Alligator mississippiensis: one gene and its partner. The protein of the gene in region 1 binds, or shares a complex with, the protein of each later gene. Links are inferred from orthologs where the notes say so. Each region holds a gene or a part of one and is shown on either strand. Other genes may lie near its edges.

What was found.
Region 2: the proteins of GCC2 (region 1) and RAB6A are in contact, whole or in part, in a crystal structure (PDB 3BBP), measured with the Homo sapiens proteins. The link is inferred for Alligator mississippiensis from reciprocal best matches to the Homo sapiens genes GCC2 and RAB6A. Residues at the interface, in NP_852118.2 of Homo sapiens: Thr1585, Ile1588, Leu1589, Glu1591, Gln1592, Leu1595, Leu1596, Glu1599, Arg1602; in NP_942599.1 of Homo sapiens: Lys15, Ile46, Gly47, Ile48, Trp67, Arg74, Phe75, Ser77, Leu78, Ser81, Tyr82, Asp85.

Annotation. Positions count from the first base shown.
Region 1 is NC_081824.1:349,384,873-349,391,889, forward strand, and holds the start of GCC2 (GRIP and coiled-coil domain-containing protein 2), read left to right. Parts: upstream 1-4,002; 5' UTR 4,003-4,194; coding exon 4,195-4,200; intron 4,201-7,017. UniProt on the Homo sapiens protein: Golgin which probably tethers transport vesicles to the trans-Golgi network (TGN) and regulates vesicular transport between the endosomes and the Golgi.
Region 2 is NC_081824.1:467,028,753-467,035,782, forward strand, and holds the start of RAB6A (ras-related protein Rab-6A), read left to right. Parts: upstream 1-4,017; 5' UTR 4,018-4,167; coding exon 4,168-4,237; intron 4,238-7,030. UniProt on the Homo sapiens protein: The small GTPases Rab are key regulators of intracellular membrane trafficking, from the formation of transport vesicles to their fusion with membranes.

The sequences.
Region 1 (7,017 bases):
CATAATACTTTTGTTTTCTAGTTGATTATGGAAAAAAAAGCCTCCAAAAAGCCATTATGGAATCTGGGGATCTCTCTCTCTCTCTTCATAGCATATCCAAATAGGACGCTAGTGACCACGGTCTTCCAGAGATCTCTTCTCTTTGAGGCATACAAAATTTCCAGCGTTGATACATTTAGATAGACTCTTGACATAAGTCAACCTCTGTCTTCCATGATCTCTCCTTTCTTCTGTCTCTCCAGTTACAACCAGACTTTCAATTTCGTCTTTCCTCATAACATGTCCAAGAAATTCCAACTGTCTCTTTCTGATGTTAATCAGCAGCTTCCTCTTGAAGCTTGCTCTTGACAAAATATCTTCCTTCGAGGTATGACTTGTCCAACACACCTTCAAGATGTGCCTTAAGAACCACATCCCAGTTGACTTCAATTCTCTTTTCCACACTTGGCAATATTGTCCAGCATTCTGATGTATACATGAGGACTGGTATAACCAGTGAGTCCAGAGGAGAGCCACATGCATGATCAGAAGTCAGGAAAACAGACCTTATGATGAGAGGCTGAGAGCTATGGGATTGTTCAGCCTGGAAAGGCGCAGGCTCAGGGGTGATCTGGTGGATGCCTATAAGTTTATCAAGGGTGCTCACCAGGATCTGGGGGAACGTTTGTTCATCAGAGCACCCCAAGGGATGACAAGGTTGAATGGTCATAAACTCCTCCATGACCATTTCAGGCTGGACATAAGGAAGAACTTCTTTACTGTCCGAGCCCCGAAGGTCTGGAATAGACTGCCGCTGGAGGTGGTTCAAGCACCTACTTTGAATGCCTTCAAGAGACATTTGGATGTTTATCTTGTGGGGATCCTATGACCCTTGCTGATTTCCTGCCCCTGGGGCAGGAGCCTGGACTTGAAGATCTTCCAAGGTCCCTTCCAGCCTAATGTCTATGAAACCTATGAAACTTAGCAATCCAAAATGCTTAGCTTCGTCCCTATAGAAATTTTACTATTTGCCAATATCTTTTTCATTTTCAGAAATGCATCTTTTGCCATCCCTATTCTGTTTTATTTCATGATTTACCAGTTACCGTATCAGTTATATCATTCACCTATAAAGCACTTTAGAATGTTTTAGCCACAATGGAAGACATAGTAAATTGACCAAATTTTAATTTGACAATAATTCTGCATGAATAATTCTCTGAGCTGGGACAGAGGAAACCAAGAGTTCAGACCTCATTTAAGTGGTTAAATCCCCCTGCAATTCACTCCCTATGTAATGGCCACCTTCTGAAAACTAACCTATAAGACAAACTGCAAAAAAATGCTAAATGTTTTATTCTTCCTACCCCTATTTCTCAGATAAGTTGGGAGACAGGTTGCAAAAAGATCACTGCAGATCTAAAACCAGGCTTTTACATAAAATTCACGATTTTGTTTCCAATGTTCCACATTGTCTTAAAGTAACTGAGTTTGGGTTATCATCTAACCACTATTCATGCATCCATGAGCCAAAGCTTCAGAGAGACTTTATAAGTCCTGTTCACAGATATTCTATTGCTGACTAGAAAAAAATTGGGTAAGCCACTAGAAAAGTGTGTGTCCAATTCATCTTCATATAGATGAACTTGAAATACACTATTTTTGTAGTTCGAGCAGTAATATTATTGTAAAATAGAAATCCAAAGGTTCAAACTCAGATACTAGTCTTTGTAGGACCATAGTATGTTTTTGCCTGATTCACAACAAAAGAATGCCTCTTGAAAGCAGACTTTCTTATTTTAAAAGACTATATTTTGTAAGTTATGGTTTAACATCAGCATAAGTTAGTGAGCAATTATTACTGTATTTACTCAAATCCCAATGAGGTTTATTCCCCATTCAACATGGGATAAAAAAAACCCCATCATCTTAAATTGGAGCATGGTCCAAAAACAGGCAGCTACTACATCTCTGACTCTGGCCCCGACTTGCAGGACAACACATGGTGCAGGGGAGGGTGCAAGGAGACTGTGGGGGAGGGCAACACAGAGAGACTGTACAAATGGGGTGGAGCATGGTGCAGTGGATAGGGGAGCATGGCAGAGAGATTGCATGCTGCAGCCCAGGGCAGTGCAGGGGAGACTTCAAAGGAGCAGGGGAGCTGCCGCAGCTCCAACTCTGGCTCAGACCCCAACCTAGGGCTTAAGCTGCTGCTGGTGTTGCTGCTGCTGCCACTGCTGCCTAGATGGGGCTGGAGTCACCCTGGGCCAAAGCTATAGCTGCCACATAGGGAAAGCAACAATGGGAGGGACAAGTGCCCAGGGGCAGGCACTTATATTCAATATTGGGGCAAGGGGGCAGGGGAGGCAGGACAGGCAGGGAAACTTCCCTGCCTCTGCTTTTCCCATTGCAGTAGTGTGAGTGACAAATTTAAGATGACGAGAACTAGATTCTATATGTGGAATAATTTAATACATTTATATTTTTTCATGTATATACAGTAATTAATTATTGGGGGGTCATCTTAAATTCAAAGTCATTTTGGATTTGGTCAAGTATGGTGTTTAATTTTTTGCTTGGGGAACCTTCTAGCATTCTCAAATGAAACCTTAGCAATGACCTCAGAAGTGTTCAAATGTACTGGAGCTGTGACTTGTGGGTGCCTATCTATTGCTATAGTTGATATACAGGCAGTCCTCGACTTACGTTGCGAGTTACAACATTTCACACTTACAACATTTATAAATTGACACCCTGTTTCAACTTTACGCCAGTTTTGACTTACAACGCTTGGTCCGATGCAATGCCACGCCAACGAACAAGTTCACTGCATTGCTCATCTCCCTGGAGAACATCTGTCCAAACTTCCTTGGACACTTTCTTTAAGAAAGCAGACAAGACTCCAGAAAAACCTGCAGCCAAGACTCCTGAGAAGACTCCAGCCAAGAGCCCTTCAAAAAGTCAAACCAAGAGTCCTTCAAAACGTCCAGCAAAGTCACCTCAAATAAGTCCTTCTAAATCAATATGATTGCTATTTACAATATAAACATATTAACGTAGCTATATTACTCATCTGTAATTGATTTGAGTACAAAATTCTGGGGTATTTTTGGTGAAAATAGGGTATCGGGCCTTGGTTCTGGAACCAATCCCCCATTTATAAAATTATTTCTTATGAGCAAATCAGTTCCAAATTACGTTTTGACTTAAGATGAGGTTTTCAGGAACCAATTGCCTGTATAACTTACTGTTAAGGTTTTTGAGGGAGGCTGCATGTTAAATGAAGCTAAACTATATGTTGCTTGCAGGCAGAGCCACAGGCATGGGCTAACTGGGTGGTTACCCGGGGCCCAGACAGAAAGGGAGTGAAAATAATAATTATTATCATTATCTCCAGCAAGGGGGGGGGGGGGAGGTTCAATACTAAAAGTCTGCCCGGGGTCGCCAGAAGTCTAAGTATGATGCTGCTTGCAGGGATCAGTTGGCATCAGAAAAGAAAACTTTGTTGAGTGCTGGAGTACATTAATGGTGGTTTTTGCAGCATGGAAGGGGCAAGAAACACAGGTTTCCTTTTAACTTATTTCCCGGTTTTTGTGCTTCTCTTCCAGGAAGCATGTCCTACTGCCACCTTAACTGTTCCCAAAGGCAGTTCATGTTTGACAACAGCTATACATTTACTCCTGGTTCCTAATTACAAATGGAATTCAGCCCTTTTCACAGAACTTGTTTGGAAAAGTCCGCCTCGTCCCCTTTTTCCTTCTGGCCTCCTAAAGCCTGAGATGACTGATTGACTCAGACCCTCCCTGGACCCTTTTCACTAGTCCAAGGCAGGTAGGGAGCTGGCATTCGTTGGTGGGGGGTGGTGGTCTTGAACGGACATTGGCAAACGCTGGCGGGCGCCACACCTGGGGGGGCGCACACAGCCCGGGACTCGCCCCGCCCCTAGCTCTAACGTATGCAACGGCTTCCGGGCGGTGCTGGTTCGGCTTCGCGCGTGCGCAGAGCGGACGGGCCGAGTGGCATCTCACCCCCGGCCCGGCCTGACAACGTAAGGGAACGGTTGCTGCGACCTTGGGTGTAGCGCAGAATGTGACGCCAGAGGCGCGGGACGATGACGAAGGCGGAAGTAGGGCAAGGAATGCAGAGGGGTGCGGAGGAGCCGTTAGGCTGAGTTTTTTTCCCCCTTTCCCTTCCGCCACCGGCTGCGGCTCCGACATGGAGGTAAAGGGAGGCTGGGTCGCGGTGGCAACAGCAGCAAGTGAGCCCCTCTGTCGGGGGCCCTGGGGTGGGGGTCGGCGCTTGACGTGGGGTGAGCCCTCCCCCCACACGCACACGTCTCCCATAGGGCTCGACCACTTGGCAGCGGAGGGGGGGGGGAGGTTTCAACTGGGGATGGAAGGAGGAGGACGGTACCACTTGAGGGGAATTGGAATGTTCCACCCGGGGATCGGGTCGGGAGGAAGGTACCACGGGGGAGGAAGGTTCCACCCGGGGATGGAGGGAGAAGGAAGGCGCCACCTGGGCTGTAGTCAGCTGGGCACAGACCATTGGGGTAGGGGAGGAGAGGCCTTCTTCACCACAGCTTTGCTCCCTGGGCTCTGGTCAGCCCAGGCAGCCTCTACCCCAGTGCTTTGTACCAGGCTAACTGCAGGTGGGGTGGCGTCTCCCCCACTCCCCATTACAGTGTTGGGTGTGATCAGAAGACTGTGTTAGAGCTGTCACATCCTGGGTCAGCCCACGGGTCCGCCTTGCCCACTATAGCCCTGCATCACTTGGGGCCCCATCACCCCATTACACGTGTTGTGCTTGACTGGCAAATTGCACCGCCAATTTAGCCCAGCCACGTGTGCAAAGTGTTGCCTCTAGCTCACCTCAGAAAGTCTGGCCCACTGTAATGTGAGAGGGGAAACGTGCCGTAACTTCCTAGCCAGTGACCAGCTTTCATTTCCACGTGTAGCAGGGGACATGGCCAGGGGTGGATCCAGAGTATGTTGGATTCCTGCTTCAGTCGCTCAGCAGATGCGTGGAAGGAGCCTGGCCTGCCTGAGTGGCCTTACCCAACCTGGCAATCCACCTGGCCAGGAAGAAGGCTCTGGCTGGAGGACCTGTCTCTGGTCTGTTCACTGCCCTGTTCCTATCCCTGGGTAGTGTCCGCTGGCTCCTTGAACTCATGTGAGGGCCAATGGGCACAGGCTGGCATGTTCTGCTTGGTGTCCCCCAACTGCATTTGTTTTAATCCTGTGACAATCACTCCTAACTCTGGTCCTTTAGTTGTCCTGAGCGATCAGTGATGTCCCCTAAGTAGCCCCCTTTGTCAAGGGTGGCTTATAGCTCTACTTGGTGGACTTTGGCCTGCATTCCCGAATGGCATCTCAAGGCCTGACCTGCCTGCAGTCTGTGTGGCTGGGCTGGGCATTCTCTTTGTACAAGAAGGCTGGAGAAGTAAAACTGTAAAGAGAAGACTTTGAGGAAAAAGGGCAGGTGGGGAGAGTAAAAGGGGGTGGGGTCAGGTTAAGTGCAGGGTGAGGCATTGCTGCTTGCTGCTGTAGGGAAGGAAAGTCCCATCCCCTCCCTGCTGCTCCCACCAGGTGGCCCAGCCAGAACAGTAAACTGCCAGCACCAAAGCCAGCAAGGAACAGGAAGTAGCTGGGCTCCTGGGCACATATCACAGAACTGACGTGGGGGAATAATAGAGACTTGGTGGGATAGCCCTCATGACTGGAGCTCTGTCATGGATGGGTACAAACAGTTCAGGAACAGCAGGCAGGGGAGAAGAGGAGGAAGAGTTGCACTCAATGTGAAAGAGGGACACGATTGCTCAGAGCTCTGGTATGAAACTGGAGATAGGCTGTTGAAAGTGGGGGTGCCCAGATAAAGATTTTTTTGGCTGATACCAGTGACCAATTATTAACCAGCTATATTGGCTGATACTGATCCGATTGCCAATATGCGTCCTGGTAGCTTGGAGAGCATCATCCAGCTGGTAAGTCTTTTGGGTGGAGGGGAAACAGGGCCCCCACAGTAAGGGAGTGGGGTTGGGACAGGCGCTGAACAGCTGGGGTGGGGTGCAGGACAGAGCTACAGCACATCTGGTGGAGGGGGGAGTGCAGCTTCTGTCACTGCATGCACCTCTGGGGGAGGCATGGAGGGCATGTGTCCCCTAGATCTGTGTGTGGGGTGAGGGCAGGCTGCTGCTGTGCGCTCCAGGCCGGAGACTATGCCTCCTTCTTCCCACTGGGGGTGGCCTGGGCCAGGGCTGTGCTCAGGTGGGGTGGGGCAGGTGGCAGCAGTGGCACTGGGTGGGAGATCATGGGGGGGCTAGAGCCACCCCAAAATTCACCATAGCCCCCCTCCCAGTGCTGCTGCTGCCTACCCAACCCCACCTGGCCTGAGCACAGCCACTGGGAAAAGCCCAGCATAGCCTCCAGCTCTATCCTACAGCAGCAACCCACCCTCGCCCCACACACAGGTCTGGGGGCACATGCCTCCCCTGGGGGTACGTGCAATGGAGGGAGCCACGCACCTCCCTGTGCCTCCTCTGGACAAGCCACTGACTTTTTCTCACACCCTGACCTACTGTGGCTGGGCAGCACCTGCCCCAGCCCCACTCCCTCCCTTGCTGTGGGGGCCTTGATCTGCCCCCTCCACACCCTTTCCCCCCCAACGCCCTTCCCCCCGCCCCATCTTATCAGCAGGATGCTGCTCTCCAAGCTGCTGCTGCGTGTGTGCTGCAGCTGCACGCATGCACGTAGCATTTATTGGCGACATTTATTTGGCCCTATCAGCCAAAAATAGCCGATTGCCAATAATGTCAGTTTTCCTTTTATCAGGGCAGATATGATATGAACTGATGTATTGGTGCTCCACTAGCTGAAAGTCTCTGGGTTGGGGTCAGAGAGGAGAGGAACAAGGGTGATATCATGGTGAGTGTGTGCTATAGACCAGCAGATCAGGAGGAAGAGGTGAATGAGGTCTTCTTCAAACAGATAGCAGACTCATCACAGGCCCTGGTTCTCATGGGGGACTTCAATCAACCTG
Region 2 (7,030 bases), about 120 Mb from region 1:
TAAAAACATTCCTAGCTCTTACCTAATGCTTTGCATCAGTTGGTCTGAAAGGTGGTTATGAAGGAGGACAGTAGTATCATCTCCATTTCACACCTAAGGAAAGTGAGGCCAGGAGAAGTGAAGTGACATGCCCAAGATCACCCAGGTGGCTAGTGGCAGAGCAGAGAAAAAGAGCCCAGGTATCCCGAGTCCCAGACCAGCACTTTTGTCCACTAGCCCAGTCTGTAAATCCCACCAATGCCAGCAGGAGCTTTGCCAGTGTTTCTGAGGGCAAGGCTGCTGTGATTTCCATCCTTGGGAGAACATTTTCTTCCACGCTTATGCAGCTCATAAGACTGCTGGGGTCCAATCAATAATAAGTGAATGAGTAATGAAGGCAGTATATTTTCATAGATGTTAGGTGTTAGGGTCGGAAGGGACCTCAATAGATCATTGAGTCCGACCCCCTTTTCTCATTCTTGATACAACCCACCCTGGCAGCTCACAGCAGCAAAGGAAAAACAGTGACTTGTTTGACAGACTGGGGCTGACCAAGCTATACAAGCATTATTGTATGCAGGAGACAGTAAAAAATATGAGGCCTGATTTCCAGGGCTCCTGCCCCTGGCTTGCCCCCTCCATCAGTACAGACAGCTGTGTCTCATGGTCCCTGGAGGATTCCCCTCTACAGCAGCATGCTTGGATCTGCATCCTAGGGCAGAGGCATGGCTAAAGGAATGAGGTGGCTAAGTTACTGTTATCCTGCAGACTCTTGACAGCCAGTATAAATGATGGTAACCTCAAGCATTGCTCTATTTATGCGGGGGATGTGCACAATGCCTGGACTTCCCTCTGGATTGAGGGAATTTGAAGATCATTGCAGACTTACAGCTGATGTGCACCAAAGGCAGCTTGTCCTCAGCTCAGGATCCCGGGCTCTTTTGGCAACCAGTCTGGAAAATTCTGATTCTCTCAAGACTTGCGGCAACGGAAGTGCATGACTTTCAATGTCTGCTTAAAATACATAGCAGGGAAGCCAAAATGGGCCAGGGTTTTTTTTTTTTAAATCTCAGGACAGGAGCTGAAGCTTGGGAAGCTGCTGGTGGCAGAGGAAGAAAGTGTTACATCAGACAGAGGTACAAATGCCGCAGCTGCATGAAAGCGTAGTAGCAGCCACAGCAGCAGTGATAGATTGATGTATAAAATTTTGGAGCTAGTCCAAAGTAATTATAATCCCCAACTCCAGAGCTACCTCGATGGCTACTTGGGAGAGGACAACAGAAAATGAATAGCTCTCAGCAGGGAAAAAAAATACATTCCCTACACAGTCTGCTTGCAAAAGCTGTTTAAAGGCTAAGCTGTGATAGGCTCTGCCTTTTCCTTTGCAAGCAATCTAGGTCTGTCATGCTAGGAGCCTGCCAAGCCGTGACAATACGAGAGATTTGAATCATTCATGACTAAGGTTTTTAAATGGCTCATTGAAACACGTTGCAAGGGTTTTCATCATGGGGAGGGCAAAGTTGAAGTTACACGTGTGAGCCTGGGGACCCGAGTCAAAGCACAAACCTGCAGCAGCTGCTTTTTGTACCCAAGAGGAAAAGGCTGGAGGAGATGGTGTGTCTTGATAACATTAAGGTTCGGGGGTCTATTTAGCACAGCCCTCTCTACAGGGGAAAAGATGTGGTCTAAACAAGAACTCTGGCTTAATCCACCTCTAGTTTGCTCTCTGACCTGGGGCAAGTCATATAGGACCCAGCTTCTGCTTGTGCCAATTCCCTCGCCTGGTGCTGGTGCAAAGGGGCCAAGTAGCAGCTCTACCTTGTCATTAGGGAAGTTGGCTGGTGGAAGGAAAATCTCCCCGTAGTGTGAAACAAGCTGGGTGTCAACTTCCCTCCTCCCTTTGGGCATCAGGCAGCATATGGGGGGGGCATTCATAAGAGATTGCAGCTGGGGAGAGCTGCAGGACCCAGGCTATTCCTGGCAGCCAGGTGCCAGGGAGGACAGTGCTGCAGTGTGCTTTACCTTGACAGTCCCTCACTGATCCCAAAATAATGGATCAGCAGAGGTGGTTTAAAGCAGCCTTGGCCTCTGTCCCCCGCCCCAACCCTGGGGCCTGTGCACAGTGAATAAGGTGCAATGAGGAACAGGGTCAGGGCTTCCCTTTTGGGGACCAGGGGCAAAGCTTGCTATCAGGCCCTGGTCTTTGTTAGACAACCATACCCGCCACGGTCCTGGATTTGACAGCTACTAGTCATTGTCAAGGCTACAAGGGCAAGTCGGGGTGCTTTGCACTGCTCTAATGCCAGCCCCGATGATGAACCCAGCTCTTAGCTTAGACTTTACCCGTGTCTCCAACACACTTTTGACTCGCGGCCCCTCCACTTCCTGTCTTTAACATGCATGGGAAAACGCAGAGGCGTATGCAGCAGCATGGGAAAAATGCAAAGGAGCAGTGAGGTTGGGTTTGCTCCCATCCATCGAGCATTTTCTAGGATCACAGAAGAGCGGAGGGTTGTCAGGGCCATCCAGAGGCCATCCAGTCCAGCCCCCTGTCCAAGGCAGCTCAGCTCTGTCACGACCATCCTAGCCAAGGGTTGGAATGAGTAGATTGCGGTGGGGGGCAACCTTTTTGGCAGGCATGCCACCAAGCAGCCTCACACCATAGACAGGGAGAGAAAATATTATTGGGGGCGGGGGTTGAGTGCAGGCATCAGCATGAGCACGACAACCCCCATCGTGCGCTGTGCAGTGCGGCGCACGCGCGGTTAGCCTCTTCTTCCTCAGCCGCGCGGAGCTGAGCGCGCCTGGGGCGCTGGCCTGGCTGCACGCCGAGCGGTGCCGCAAAATGAGTTTGCAGGGGCTAAGACCCCCCAAGCCCCGGCTTTCTGCTGCCTATGCACCACGCTGCTCGCCAGTGCCACTCCGATCTCCTTGCCCTGCCTGCTCTGCTGCTCTGCTTTCTGCTCCCCCCGCCCGGTGCTCCCCTTCTGGATCTGCCATCCTGCTTTCTGCTCCCTCCGCCCGGTGCTCCCCTTCTGCTCTGCTCTCTGCTCCCCGGCTGGTGCTTCGCTTCTGGATCTGCCTCTCTGCTTTCTGCTTCACTGTCTGGTGTCCCCCTTCTGATACGCTGCTCTGCTTTCTGCTCCCCTGATCTGCCGCTCTGCTTTCTGCTCCCCCTACCCAGTGCTCCCCTTCTGGATCTGCCACTCTGCTTTCTGCTCCCCTCGCCTGGTGCTCCCCTTCTGGATCTGCTGCTCTGCTTCCACTCCCTCTGCCCAGTGCTCCCCTTCTGCTCTGCTCTCTGCTCCCCCTGTCTGGTGCTTCCCTTCTGGATCTGCGTCTCTGCTTTCTGCTTCACCGTCTGGTACCCCCCTTCTGATATGCCGCTCTGCTTTCTGCTCCCCCCGTTTGGTGTTCCCCTTCTGATCTGCCACTCTGCTTTCTGCTCGCCCTGCCCAGTGCTCCCCTTCTGGATCTTCTGCTCTGCTTTCTGCTCCCACCGCCCCGTGCTCCCCTTCTGCTCTGCTTTCTGCTCCCCCGTCCGGTGCTCCCCTTCTGCTCTGCCGCTCTGCTTTGGCTTTATTTAATGATTGCTTAAATTTTGTTATTTGAACTTCTTATGTTGCTGGCGTGTCGTGCGCGATACGGAGCGGCCCGTGCCTTTTGCAAACAGCCGATGGCCTTGATTTTTTTGGGTTTTTTTTCTCCTTTCTTTATCGTTGTGAAAAGTTTTCTTTCACACAAGACCGTCATTCTTTTGTTACCAGCTTAAATCAACTCAGCTTGGCGCTGACCGGAGCAAGCAGAGGAATCACATAATTGCACAGCCGGCTCCCAGCCTCGCACACCCCCGGGAGCCCTCCGCCCCGGCCCGCTGACGTCACCGCTGCCACACTCGGCATGGCCCCCGCCGCGCGCCGCTCCCCCCGCTCCCCCCATCCTCGCGCTCCTATTGGCTGAGGGGCGTGCGCGCTGACGTGTACAGGGGAGGAGCCGAGCGCGACCCCGCCCCCTAGCTGCGCGCGCACAGCCCAGCAGGTTGCGTTGCGCCACCGCCACCGTCGCTACAGCCGCCGCCACCGCCGCCGGGCGCTCGGGAGCGGTTGCACGGCGCGCTTCCAGTCGTCAGCCCCGGCCTCGGCCCCGCGCCCGCACCCGCACCGCCTCAGCACCGGCCCCGGCGCCGCCATGTCGGCGGGCGGCGACTTCGGGAACCCGCTGCGGAAATTCAAGCTGGTTTTCCTGGGCGAGCAGAGCGGTGAGCGCCGCACCCCTCCTCCCCCCCCCTCCCTTATTGCACCCCCTCAGCCGTGGGGACTGGGCTGTGCCCGGCGGGGGGGGGCGGGTTTGCCCACATGGGGCTGCGTCCCCTCCCTGCAATGAGGGGGGGCAGGGAGATCCCCCCCCAACACACACACACACACCTCGAGTGAGCGAGCATCTCCTCCACCTTTTGGCAGGGAAGAGATGGGGAGGCCTGGCTTGGCCCCCCCCCCCCCCCCCGCCCTTTGCACGTCAGCAGTGGTGAGTGCTTTTTCACCCCGATTTAATGAGGGGGACGTCGGGGCACGGGGTGCTGCTGCGCCCGCATTGCTAAACACCCCCCGTGCTTCCCACAAGGACGTCGGTGTCGGTGTCACTTCCATCGCCCTCCGCGGTACGAGGGGAGTCAAGCCACGTACGTGGGCCCTTCCCTTTGGCCTGCCTCTTCTCTTTATTTCCCCTTTGTCGCAATAGCCCCCGAGTGACACCCCCCCCCCCACCACGTGAGTCCCGGGCGCCAGCAGCGAGGTGTTGCTCGGCCAGCCGTTTTACGAGGATCTTGAGAGCGGTTCGCGTGCGGAAGACGCTGTCGGTACCAGGTCAGGATCGATCCGATGCCGGCCGCGCTCCTCGCAGGCTCTGCGGCCTCTTTGATCGTAGGGCCGAGATTTACTCTGCGTGCGGCGTGCGTCTCAAAGGGCGGTTTGATCCGTGGCACAGTAACGGATTTGTTCTCTGGGTGCTGCTTGCTGGATCGCGGCAGCTGCTGTCCTCGCCCGTGGGTTTGCGTGCCCGATGGTCTGAATCCTCCTCTCCTGGTAGTGATTCTGGACACATGAGTATGATGATTCCCCTTGAACATACGTGTGTTTGTCTGGGAAGGATGGAGTGATGCAGCAAAGTACTTCCAGTCTCGCAAACACTAGCTCATGTCTACGCACCCAAGCTACTTTTAAGCTCACCAGCTTCTCCGAGCTCGCCGGCTTGCATAATGCTAGCAGAGTAGCAACAACCACCTGCAATCCAGTATGATCTGCCAGATCCACCCAAAAAGCGGGGTAAATGCACAGGCAAGTGGTCCAGGTAGGCAGCGCTGTGCCACCTGGTAGCCGTACCCAAGCTGGCTCCTCTAAAGCTGCTGGGGGCACGCATTCATGAGCCGGTGTCCTTGTAGTATAGGCAATCCTGATGCATTTCTGAGACCTCATTAAACAGAGTTCTTGTGCGTGGCTTGGAAATGCCTGTTTATTCCAGGCTGCTTCTGCTCTCCAAGCGAGATTTGGACAAAGCCATGTCGGCATAAAGATCAGTTGCGTCTAGCCTTAGTAACTAGATAGATATGCTAATGGTGGTCTTCTGTACAAGGAAGAAAAAGCCTGAACATCTCTTGATCAGTGCTGGGAATGTTAACGCTGGAATTTTCCGCCCCTGTTTAGCTTGCTCTCCTTGTCTGTCCTCACTGTGTTGGCGTTGGAGGGTGCAAAGCCTTGCATAACAGCGGCTTTTACAAATCAAGGCGTCCTTTTCTGAAAAAGCTGTTGCCACTGGGATGTTCTGTTCGCTTCCTGTTTCACTGAATGGTTGTCTGCCTGGTTGGAAGGCCGTCATTAAAGGTATCTAGCTGCCACTCGTAGGAAAGCAGAACGCTGCCCTGGCATTGTTTCCTTTCAATCCCTTCAGAAAAGCAAATCAAACGTTACGGGGGTGCTGCTGTTGATTAGCTAGACCAGAATGTCAGGGCTAAGATCATGCCTCTTGTGTTGGCTTCCTACAATCTTTTCAAGAAATGTATGTGCTACTGCTGCCTGGTTCTTAATTGGACCTCGTTAAAGGCTTTCGAGCTGGCACAGGAGAAGCAGCCAAGTGTTCAAAGAGAATGTCTTGCCTTGTGAAATAGGGAATGTTTCTGCCGAATCTATTTTTGTATTTTATTTGGAAAAGTGATCGGCCAACGATGGAAATAGCATCCTTTTTTCTCCTTGGCTGTATCGTGGCAATTCAGTGCAGCTTTCTACCTAAATAAACACGTTTGCTTGCACTGCAGTGATTTTTTTTTTCTTTCTTCTCCAGATTATGCTATGCATTATTGTCAGCAATAATGTGTGTTTTTTTTTCTGAACAAAGAAGGTTTGGGGGCTTCTGATTTAATCTCTGAAATAAAGCCCCCTCTGTCTCCCTGCTTCTTGCATCTCCTCAGTTACTAAAATTTATCTGGCTTTCATTTTTGTTGCATCAACACCTTGAGCCCTGCATGTTGGAGAATGAAAGCTGACACACTGCTGCAGTCGTCCATCCCTTGGAGCCCTCCCCTGCCCATGCCAGTCAGTCGGTGTGTTAGCTGCATGACATAAGGTCACTTGCAGCTTCTTTTGGGATTTACTGCAAATCGCTGGTTCTCAGTGAGAGTATGCTTTTTCTGGTTCAAAACTGGATCGATGAAACCTCAGGTGCTTGCTGTAGATTGATTGCAAACCTGCATTTTATTCCATGGATAGCTAAAAGCACCTCTGTGTGTATCTCATCTCTCTGACTTGCGATGTAAGCTGTGCATTGTAGGGCGACTAGCAAGAAATTAAAAAAAATATTAACAGGGGCTTGCCTTAATTGAATTAACTTCTTCGGTGATTGCAGATTACATAGAGTTTAGTCATTTTAAATATGTTAATCTTTCCTGAAAAGACAGCTTTGTGCTGAGGGATTAAATGCAGCTACAGTAAAATATATATATAATATTCTGATTCCCTTTAGTGTCTTTGATCTTACTTCATGTCAGGTGACTTCCAGCATT